Linked DNA regions of Caenorhabditis elegans. The protein of the gene in region 2 purifies or fractionates together with the protein of the main gene of each other region. This does not show direct contact. Each region holds a gene or a part of one and is shown on either strand. Other genes may lie near its edges.

Region 1 (6,876 bases), on a different chromosome or scaffold from region 2:
CTTTTTTCTCTCCGAAAAAAAATCTAATCTAATAAATTTTTATTTTTTCGATATTAAAAAAATTGTTTTAAAAAAAATTACTTAAAATTTTGGTATTTTTTAGAAATTATATAATTCGACAAAATATTGAATTTTTGCTAGTTTTCTAAAAACAATCGTTTTTTTTTCAATTTTCTGAAAAAAATTCGAAAACTGCCCCGTTTTTCCAGTATTTCGAAAAAGGATATTTTTTAGAACAAAATTGATTTTTCTTTTTTTCTGCAAAGAAAAGATTTTTCGCTTTTTCGATTTTCCGGAAAACCGAAAATGTTAGTTTTACAATTTTTTATTCAAATTTTGGTTTTTTTTTTTAATTTTTTGAAGAAAATTATATTTTTTCATCAGGATAGACAAAAATTGATGATTTTTAAAGTTTTGTTTCTAATTTTTCTGAAAATCGAAAAGAATTCGTTTTCCAATATTTTGAGAAAATAGCTCAAAATTTTGGAGTTTTTCCATTTTTTAATAATTTTTTTCTGAAAAAACCGAAAAAATGAATGATTTTTCTATGAACCTGTTAAAAAACTACAAAAAAAACAAATAAAAAATGGAAATTTCAACCATTTGGCCAACTAGGAGATATTTGAAGGTAAAAAAGCCACGAAAATTCATTCAAATTAAGAAAAAAGAAAGTGACGGAACAGTGTAACAACTTGAGGGGTAGTCAAACAACAACAAAAAAAAAGGATAACGAATAAAAAAATAGTAACAAAATTTCAAAAAAACGGGGATTATTGAATAAGAGCCTCGATTTGTTTGCGAAGAGAACGACACTTGATTTCCATGACTTTACAGGCTTCAACCACCAATTCAGACGATTTCAGAGCTCCAGTCGACTCTACACTGACTGAAAAAAAAACTAAAATTGCCGGAATTCAAAATTTCCGGCAAATCGGCAAACCGGCAAATTGCCAATTTGCCGAATTTGCCGGTAAAAATTGTGAAAAATTTTTTGTGTGTTTTTTTTTCAGTTTAAAAAAAAAGAAATTTGAAATTTTGGCAATTTTTTTAAATGGTTTTTTGGTTTTTTTTTGTATTTTTGAAGAAATTTTCATTTTTCTCATTGAAATATAATTTATTTTTAAATAAGTTTATAGTTTTTCCCTCTTTTTTCCTACGTTTTTTTCGGTTTTTTTTTTATATTTAAAAAAAATCGACTTTCTCAACCAAAAAAATTAGAAAACTTGGGAAAAATCGAAAAATTTCTGACGACGAAATTTTGTGTTTTTTTTTCGTTAAATTTTTTTTTCTCATCAGTTTCGATAAAATTGATTTATGGGGTTATTCAAGTAGTGTCGGAAAATTAAAAAGTGTAAAAAAATTTTTGCGAAAAAAAAAAAAAATTGCTACATTACTTGAATAACCCCATTAGAAAAAATCATATTTAATGGTTAATTTTAACCGATTTTTACTAATTTTCCACAAAAATTCGGGCCCTTGAAAAGTAGAAAATTTAGGATTTTTGTAATTTTATCGGAAAAAAGTTCGAAAAAATGGGTTTTTTTTGTGAATTTTTCAGAATTTTTCGAATTTTCCCCAGTTTCTGCTCAATTTTAATTTTCTGAACATTTTTTTTAAAAATTTTTTCGTTTTTTTTAAGTTCGAAAACTCAAAAATTTTCTTTTCCCAATTTCCAATTTTTCAACTTTTCGTTTTAAAAATTTTTTCAAAAAAAAAATCGAAAAACGGCACGTCTGTACCATGTTTCTGGCGAAAATTCTTTTTTTTTCGAAAAAAAAAGCGAAAAAAAATATATAAAAACTCCGGCTCCAAAAAAAATTACTTATACATTTTCCAAAAAAACCACTCTCAAAATTAAAAAAAAGAGTTAAAATTTGGCAAAAATATTTAAAATTTTCAAAATAAGGTTTCAAACTTTAACAAAATTGGGGTTTGTTTTTCGACAACTTTTCGTGTATTTTTTTTTGGAAAAAAAACCAAAAAAATGCGAAAAATTCATGAATTTCAGTTTTTTTTTTCGAATTCAGCCCTGCCACTAACAAATGAAATGCTGTTTGTTCTTTCCCAATTGAACAACTTTCGACAGATCTTCGTGGCGGAACACGTTACGACTGCACGTATCCTTGCGAGCATCCTTGACAACAGCAATTCGTTTGGCTGAAATTTTAAAAAAATTGGTGTGTTTCCTAAAAATTGATTTATGATCTACCTCCTTTCTTCTCGATAGCAATAACTCCCTCGCTGAATACTGATTTGAGACGTTCGGCAGCTTCACCCGAAATTTCGGCGTTCAAGCGGATCGTTGGAAGCAGTCTGGAATGAAAAGAAATTTTTTGAAAAATTGGAAGAATTTGAAGGTCAAATTGGCAAACCGGCAAACCGGCAAATTGTGTTTTTGCACATTTTTTTTGGAAATTTCAGATTTTCAATTTCAATCGGCTAAATTGTACGCATCCTATAAATGTTCCTACATGTATTTTGAAAAGTAGGCAAATTCTATGAAAATTTCCGGCAAACCGGCAAATCGTCAATTTGTCAAAAATGAAAATTCCGGCAAATCGGTAAACCGGCAAATTGCAGAAAATGAAAATTCCGGCAAATCGGTAAACCGGCAATTAACCGAAATCGAAGTTTCCGGCAAATCGTCAAACTGGCAAATTGCCGAAAAAGAAAATTTCCGGCAAATCGACAAATCGGCAAATTGCTGAAAATGAAAATTTCCAGCAAATCGCCGAAAATGAAAATTTCCGGCAAATCGACAAATCGGCAAATTGCTGAAAATGAAAATTTCCAGCAAATCGCCGAAAATGAAAATTTCCGGCAAATCGACAAATCGGCAAATTGCTGAAAATGAAAATTTCCAGCAAATCGCCGAAAATGAAAATTTCCGGCAAATCGCCGAAAATGAAAATTGCCGAAAATAAAAAAAAATTGGCAATTTGTCAAATTTGTCGACAAAAAAATTCACCTCTGGCTTGAAATTTTCGAACTTTTTTTTCCACAAAATTACAGAAAACAGTCTAAATATACTGAATATAGGTAGATGTACAAAAATTATTTAACTTCCCCAAAATATCTCGTAGCGAAAACTACAGTAACTCTTTAAAAGCTACAGTAGTCATTTAAAGAATTACTGTAGTTTTCGCTACGAGATATTTTGCGCGTCAAAAATTTTGTGTAATACGCATTCTCAGAATTTGGGGTCCCGTAAAACCGAAAATATATTATATGAATTATAATTTTTTTCCCCCCAATTTTTCACTTTTTCCGAGAAAATCGAAAAACGAAAAATTTTCAATTTTCCGGAAAACCGCAAAAATCAAAAGAAAATATTTCAGCAGCTTCAAAATTCACACCTATAGGACGCAGTAGCAACCGGTGAGAACTTTGCATGATCCCGTCCGATTCCCTTGACCGCATGGCAACTGGCTTCAATTTCCTGTCCAGGACGAAGCTTGGCAACGAGAATATCATCAGAAACCATACGTGGATGGGCTTCTTCGGTGAATTGCGTCTTCTGATCAGCAATCGGTACCCATTCAAAAGCACGTGAGTAGACCGAGCTATTGTGATAAAGCTGCTTCGGATCGGTAGCCGTCGGCACCGCATTTCGATTCTTCGTACACGAAACATTAATCTTGAAGATCAAATTTTTCGCGGGATCTCCCTCGGGCTCCTCGTCACAATCCACTCCCTTCTCATTGATTCCAACGACTTTTTCCTTTGGAAACTGAAATCCACGTGGATCCACACGAAGCGGCAGAAGACCCAAACGATGGCAGAGTACTTCATCTTGAATTACAGAAGTATTCTGATAGAGATAAATCTTCTCGAGAGCCATCGTTGGCACTTCGGCGATGAGCACACGGCGAAGAGCATTTGCAATTGGAGCTTCAATGCGAGTAATATCAAATTCCAATGTCATTCCATCGTCGGATTCATTGACCATTGCCACTTGGATTTGATCGCAATACTCGTTGATATCGAATTGTTTTGTATCGTCGTATTCGACATAATCGGTGCATTCGTCGTAGGTCTGGAATTGAAGAAGAATTTTTGGAAAATTTAAAAAAATAAAAATTTCGGCCGAAAAGCAAAAAATCGAATTTCTTCAAAAAAAAAAAACAAAAAAAAATATTGACCAGAAATGTCGGTTTTTTGGTTTTTTTTTCCTTTTTTTTTTGAGACGAAAAAATTGGCAAAAAAATTTTCCCGTGGTGGAGAGTTGAACTCAAACTGCTGCGAGTGAATATAAGCATTGACTCCATCTTCGATTTGCTGTTCAAGCGTGGGCGTTTTTAGCTTCTTGCTCTTCGGTCCGGAGGACATCGCGACAACGACGTTACGCGTGGTGAAAAATACACGCAATCCGCTTTTTTTTTGTTCATTTTTTCTTTGGTTTGTGTTTTTTTTTTCCAAAAAGTTGAAAAAATCGAAAGTTAATTTTTTCTTGGTTTATCTCACAATTTTAAATTTTTTCAATTTTTTTTGAAAAAAAGTAATCTTTCACTAATTTCCGGCAGTTGATAAATCGCCGCCTTTTTTCGTAAATTTGTATAACAATTTTTTTCGGAAAAATAACGATTTTCAATAAAAAATTGGAATTTTTTAAAATTTTTCTGGACGAAATTTTAAAAAAATACGGAAAATGCTTTTGCCGCCTGATTTCCTAACGAGACCCAACGTTTGGGGGCGGAGCGCTCTCGTTTCCCAATGGAGCGCGATTGCATCCTTGAAATATTCAAAAAATCCTACATTGAGCACAACTTCCTCTTTCATCTCGATCTCATCACTGTGATAGGTAGCCTGCTTGCTAGTTGCCGCCGCTTTTTTGACCATTTTTGCCTGGAAATTTTTTGATTTTTTTCGCCTGAAAACTCTATGGAAAGATATAAAATCGCTGGGAAAACGAAAAAAAAAACAAAAAAATGGAAAAAAACATTTAAATCGATATTTTTTTGAATTTAGCATTAAAAATAAACCCAGAGTCCCCAGAACAAGAGAGAAAAAAAAGAAAAACCAACAAGTAAATAAATAAATAATAAAAATGCGAAAAGAAAAAAGAATAGAATCACATTTTCAAGGAATCATGGATATTTACAACCAGCCATAAATTGGAAAAAAAATCAGGAAAAAGCAGGGAAAAAAAGTGATTAAAGCATAGATATTACTAGAAGAAAAAGGAAATTTTTGGGCAAGATTTTTTGAAAATCTCGTATCGATTTTTTGTGGAGCATTTAGCGAGGCTGGTCATCCGTCCAAATTCCGATCTGAAAATAAAATTTTAATGTCAAAAATATTGTCAGGTCGCTCTACCGCACACGAAAATGGCGGGAAAATATTTTTTGAAAATTTGTGACGTCACACAGCGCATTTTGAATAATTGCTTTTGTTCAATTTAAGCGCCGATTTTCGTGAAATTTTTTTAAAAACTGGCTCATTTTAATTTATAAAATTTGATATTTTACAAAAATTCTAAAATTTAGTGGAGAAATTGAAGCAAAATACAATAAAAATGAATAATTTCAATTTAAACAAAAATTTATTTGGAAAATCATTTTTAAAAAATTCACGGAAACTTGGTAAATGAACGGTTTAAATGGTTTTTCGAAAAAAAAAATTCGTTTCAATTGAAATTATTCATTTTTATTGTGTATTTTGCTTCAATTTTTCCACTAAATTTTAAGAATTTTGGTAAAATATCAAATTTTATAAATTAAAATGAGAAAGATATTATTTATTTATTTTTTTTTTAAGTTTGACAAAAATCGGCGCTTAAAATTAAGAAAATTATTCAAGATACGCTGTGACGTCACAAATTAAAAAAAAAATATTTTCCCGCCATTTTCGTGTGCAGTAGAGCGATGGGACATCCTGACACCACTTCAAAAAAGGCCTAAAAAACTGCAATTTTACCGTATATCTGAACCAAATGAGCACAAGATCTCGGCCCATTTGAAGCCAAGACCAAATTGGAGTAATCTTAGACCCTTCGATTTCAGTCCATCGAACTGAAACTTCTTTCACAGGGACCGTCCATCTTTCGCAAAGGAAGATGAGCTCAACGTCAAAAGCCCAGCGCTCAATGTGAAGTACTGGGAAAATCTGAAAAAAAAACGTTTTTTTTTTTTGGTTTTTTTTACTTTAATTTGACGAATTTTAGCTAAAATCTTAAATCAGGAATTGAAAATTTTCGGCAAATCGGCAATTTGCCGGAATTGAAAATTTCAGGAAAATCAGCAATTTGCCGGAATTGAAATATCCGGTAAATTGACAAATTGCCGTTATTGAAAATTTCCGGCAAATCGACAAATCGGCAAATTTCCGGAATTGAAAATTTCCGGCAAATCGGCAAACTTCCGGAATTGAAAATTTCCGGCAAATCAGCAAATTGCCGGAATTGAAAATTTCTGGCAAATCGGCAAATTGCCGGAATTGAAAATTTCCGGCAAATCGGCAAACTTCCGGAATTGAAAATTTCCGGCAAATCGGCAAATTGCCGGAATTGAAATTTCCGGCAAATCGGCAATTTTGCTGAATTTAAAATTTCAGGAAAAATGGCAAACCGACAAATTGTCGATTTGACGAATTCGCCTGAAACACGGCAATTGCCGAAAATTTTCGGCAAATTGTGGTTTTGCACATTTTTGGAAATTTCAGAGGTTAAGAAAAATCCCTGTAAAAACTTGCGGCAAATTGGAATCCGGCAATTTTCGAGAATTTAAAATTTCCGGCAAATCGGCAAACCGGCAACTTGCCGACTTGCCGAATTTGTCGACAAAAAAGTCTGCCAATTTTTTAAACATTTTCTCCCAAAAAGAAAAAAAAATTCGAACATATATATATATATATAATAGTCGATTTCCGACCACTACG
Region 2 (4,628 bases):
TCAGGATCTGTTATTGGTGACGATGGTGGTGCTTCTGGAGGATATGCTGATCGAATTGTTCGAGATTTCGTGCTGGAAAATGGAGGAGGAATTGTAAAAACATCAAAACTGTAGGAATAAATAACTTTAAATAATGTAATATTTCATTTTTTCAGAAACAAGAACATGTTCTCCACGACTGTAGAATCCGAAGCTGGAGAAATTCTTTTAAGAGTTGCCAAGGTTTACGGGTTTCGAAATGTGCAGAATCTGGTTCGAAAAATGAAGACGAAAAAGGAGAAGACAGATTACGTGGAAATTATGGCTTGTCCGGGTGGATGTGCAAATGGTGGAGGTCAGATTCGGTACGAGACAATGGATGAGAGAGAAGAGAAATTGATTAAAGTCGAGGCATTATATGAAGATTTACCCAGACAAGATGATGAAGAAACCTGGATAAAAGTTCGAGAGGAATGGGAGAAACTTGATAAAAACTACCGTAATCTTCTGTTTACGGACTATAGGCCCGTTGAGACGAATGTTGCTCAAGTCTTGAAATGGTGAATTTTCTTGTTATATTTTGTGATACATTCCCAGTCCCTAATTTTTTAGATTCTATAGAATAAAATGTTTTTTTTTGTTTTTCAACGAAAACGCGACATTTTTAAAGCATTTTTTGGTTAACAGAAAAGTTACGAAAAAAAATGAACAGTAACAATGTTGAATAGATGAGAAAAACAGCAACAAAAACAAACAGGGAGCAATAACAGGGAGACATCTTAAATATTAATAGTCTTGAAGACATTAAATCCATCAATTGAAGTGTTGATAGCCAATCCAGGAATCTGTTGATGCCAGTGAACTTCTTTGACCTCATTCTGACCCATATGGACGAACATCAGCTGTGGTGGAACTCCTTCGATATTCGTTTGTCCATCTGCTTCAGTTGCAATATCCCAAATTGTTGTCTGATCGTCTTCACCGGAAGCCATAAATGTCGTTGTTTCATGTGGATGCCAGTCGACTGAAGTGATTGGTGAATTGTGATACTTGAAGAGTGCCACTGGTTGACCGAATTGGATTGTTTTCAAAGACCAAATTTTCAGCTCTCCGTCATCACCACCAGAAACAATGAGGTTTTCGTGACGATTCCACGAAATAACATTAACATCGGATTCATGAGCTTTTTGCACTGTACAGACGCAGGCATCTTTTGGAGCAGAACGTGTATCCCATAGTTTGATACTTCCATCCGCGGAACATGAAGCAAGAAGTCCAGTTTCAGTTGGTGACCATGCAAGATCTTCGACACTCTCTGAAAAATATTGGAATATGTACTGAAAAATGCTCAAAAATTTTTATGCGACAAAGACAAGTTTTTAATTCAGATTTTTGTTTTTTTCCAATCTATTCAAGAAAAAACCACTCAAACGCCATTCAGGAGACACATTTCAATTTTTGGAATTTTCAGATCAAAATTAAATAAATTACTTTTATGTCCAGTTAATGGATTAGCTCCAACAGCCCATTGTCCTCCTTCCTTCATTTGCCACAAATAAATCTTTTTGATGATATCACCAGTAGCCAAGTCTCCAGTTTTTAATGAAGACCAAGCAAGTCCATATCCTTCTTTTCCAGATCCATTATTCGTGAACAAGGGTCGATCGATCTTTTGCACTTCAGTCTTCGACTCTCCGCTCATTCCATGAGTATAATTCAATGCATCAGTGATATTCCACACCTGGACACGTCCTTGATCACTCCAGCAAGCACATACAGTACTGTCACCAAGACGATCGGAACGAATTCGGTTAATACCACCATAGTGAGGAATCGAAACAGCGTGCATTTTTGGTTCTCTTTTCTTCTCTTCTTCGGCATCTTCATCTTCGGATTCGTCTTCAGAGGTGTCACTGTCGTCGCCTTTGTTTTCTTTTTCTTTCTGAAATACTCACTTTTATTGTAGAGATATCCTTGTTTTTTTTAGTTTAACAATTGTGTTACTGAGCTTAAAACTAAACGTTGGCCGGAATTTCAATTTCATAACAGGTAAATAATAAAAAAGTTTGAAACCGACTAACCCTCATCGTTGTAAGATTCTTCAATCCCATCACAATGATTTCGTTATCCCTTGGCTTATCGGCTTGAGTTCCACTGACAATATAACATTCGGCAGGGAATTGTGTTCTGTTCTCGCCCAAACCATCTTTAACAACGTCAAACGACAAGCATGGCCAATCTAAATCATAAAATATAAATATTTTAGAAACAATTTCGTTTGAATCACCAGAATTGAAACTATGAAATAGTTTGTAAGCACTAGGGTCAAAATCCAATTCTTCTCCTTTTTTCAATGGCCGGCTGAGGCCTGGAATGTAAGCCTGCAATTTTAACAATTAGAAGTATTGTACGAAATTTCTAGCTCACTTGTCTCTGATTCTCCGGTACTTCCTCGTCTTCATCATCAGTTTCATCAACTTCCTCTTCAGACTCGTCTATATCCTCCACTGGATCCTCATCATGCATTTCAACGTCATTTTCACCGGACATTTTCTGCAGATACAGAATATATCTCTTAAGAAATGTTAGAAAAAGCGGATGAGGTAATATTTGGAACTTCAGAGGGTGTTTTCTTAAATTTTAAAACAATTATGAGCACAAAACTACTAGTAAAGCGTGAAAATTGGGAGGATAAAAAAAATAAATAGGAAAACAGAAAAAATTTTAGAGTACGCAAAAGTGCGTCGTCTCTGGCTTATTTCATGCGGTGTTTGCGTACTCTTAATATTTTTATCAATTTTTTAATGTTTTTCGAAACAAAAGCTATTTTCCTTTTATTTGTATTCATTTATGTGTTAAAGATAATAATATTAAATATTAATATTTTTTGATTTATCTGTCGCAAAGTTTCTGTACTTTCTGACTATATTTAGACTTATTTTCAGCCTGAAACGCTCACCCTTCAACAATGGCCAACTTGGATGATGAACTGGCTTTGTAAGTTGATTCTTCCTATATTTATTATCAAACAAATTATATTATTTTAGATTTGAAAGCGAGTTAGCCGAACTTGAACAAGCGAGTAGCAATTCGGAGGAGCCAGCAAGCTCTCAAACGCATGTTGGCTACGATAATGCAACAATTTCGGCAGGACCAACTACTTCCGAGTCATCAGCAGCTACTTCTAGTGCTCAAGTTATTCAACCATCACTTTTGGCAGCGCCTCCGTTTATTCCGATAGCTGCCACAATTGCAGTTTCTCCATTTATCAACCCGGCACTTGGGAGGCTTCCAACAATGCCTCCAGTTCCACCTTCAATTTTCATGCCTCCACAATTAAGAGCTGCACCGGTTAGTTTTGATTTTCCGTTGACTTAAAAAATATCCTTATTTTATGAATAAAGCCATAAATTTTTGAGAGAAAAGTTAAAAATTGAAGTTATGTGAATATTACTCTCAATTGAATATTAAATTTACAGATAATGTTCCCTCCTCGAGTACTCGGAATTCCGGCTCCTGCAACTATTGAAGGTGCTCCAGCATTATATGAAACACCTGCAGTAAACGCAATTCCACAAGAACTTCTGCGAACTCAAGCTCTTCAATCAGATATTGATAAGATGAATTTCAAAAAGCAAACCGATCCATTTAAGAAGAAAATCAAGGAACAACAAGCGAAAAAGAAGTTTGTGAGATCCGGTGGTGGTCAGGTTTGGGAAGATCCATCTCTTGCCGAATGGGATGAAAATGATTTTCGAGTTTTCTGTGGAGATCTGGGAAATGAAGTGTCGGATGAACTTCTTGCAAAGGCTTTTCGAAAATACCCAAGTTTCCAAAAAGCCAAAGTTGTCAGAGAATCACGAACAAATAAGAGTAAAGGATATGGATTCGTTTCATTCAGAGATTCGGAGGATTATGTGAGAGCTATGCGTGAAATGGACGGAAAATATGTTGGAAATCGACCGATTAAATTGAGAAAATCGGCATGGAAGGAGCGTAATATTGATGTTATCAAGCAAAAGAGAAAGCAAAAGAAAGAACTTGGAATTTTGTAAATCGATTCGTTTTTCTACATTTTTTTCTGTAATTTATTCATTTATACCCCAATACTTTCATTGTACCCCTTATTTTCCTGTCATCGTATTTTTATTCATTTTTCTTTTCAATATATAAAAGTCTGAATTGAGATATTTATCGTTATTTGAGTATCAGGAGCACTGTTGCATGTCCAGTGCAAAATATACCTCTACTGTCATTTTAGAACATTACATTTTTGAGTTTTTTCTTTTCAATTCATATTTAAGAAAGGCTGAAATCTTTTGAAAACTTCAAATTTTGAGGGAACAATACCGTATCCGGTCTCGACACGATACATTTTTGTTAAATTCGAAATGCTGTGCGCCTTTAAAGAGTACTGTAATTAAAAAATTTCGTTGTAGTTCAATTTCTAACGATTCTTTGAAGTTGTTTGATAAAAATATATCTACTAATCAAAAACTTCAGTAAAGCATAAATTTTAACAATAACTAACAAAAAATTCTTGTCGAGACGGAGTACTGTATATTTAGCGCACAAAACGAGAATTTTCGTGTCTGTGTTTCAAAAATGTTCTTCCTGAAATTTAAATGATTTTGGCTGGAAGTTAAGAT

Evidence for each region.
Region 1: the proteins of grwd-1 (region 2) and rpac-40 fractionate together in Caenorhabditis elegans (co-fractionation; one large-scale study listed by BioGRID). This does not show direct contact.

What each region holds. Positions count from the first base shown.
Region 1 is NC_003283.11:4,197,454-4,204,329, reverse strand, and holds rpac-40 (DNA-directed RNA polymerases I and III subunit RPAC1), read right to left. Parts: upstream 4,846-6,876; 5' UTR 4,840-4,845; coding exon 4,756-4,839; intron 4,037-4,755; coding exon 3,357-4,036; intron 2,314-3,356; coding exon 2,210-2,313; intron 2,158-2,209; coding exon 2,041-2,157; intron 887-2,040; coding exon 771-886; 3' UTR 634-770; downstream 1-633. Other genes in the region: algn-5 (dolichyl-phosphate beta-glucosyltransferase), read right to left, coding at 5,238-5,270, 5,917-6,105.
Region 2 is NC_003281.10:5,151,447-5,156,074, reverse strand, and holds grwd-1 (Glutamate-rich WD repeat-containing protein 1), read right to left. Parts: upstream 2,612-4,628; 5' UTR 2,530-2,611; coding exon 2,407-2,529; intron 2,361-2,406; coding exon 2,267-2,360; intron 2,219-2,266; coding exon 2,061-2,218; intron 1,922-2,060; coding exon 1,471-1,921; intron 1,295-1,470; coding exon 759-1,294; 3' UTR 639-758; downstream 1-638. Other genes in the region: putative cytosolic Fe-S cluster assembly factor oxy-4, read left to right, coding at 5-110, 156-543; rbm-42 (RNA-binding protein 42), read left to right, coding at 2,948-2,976, 3,027-3,330, 3,459-4,034.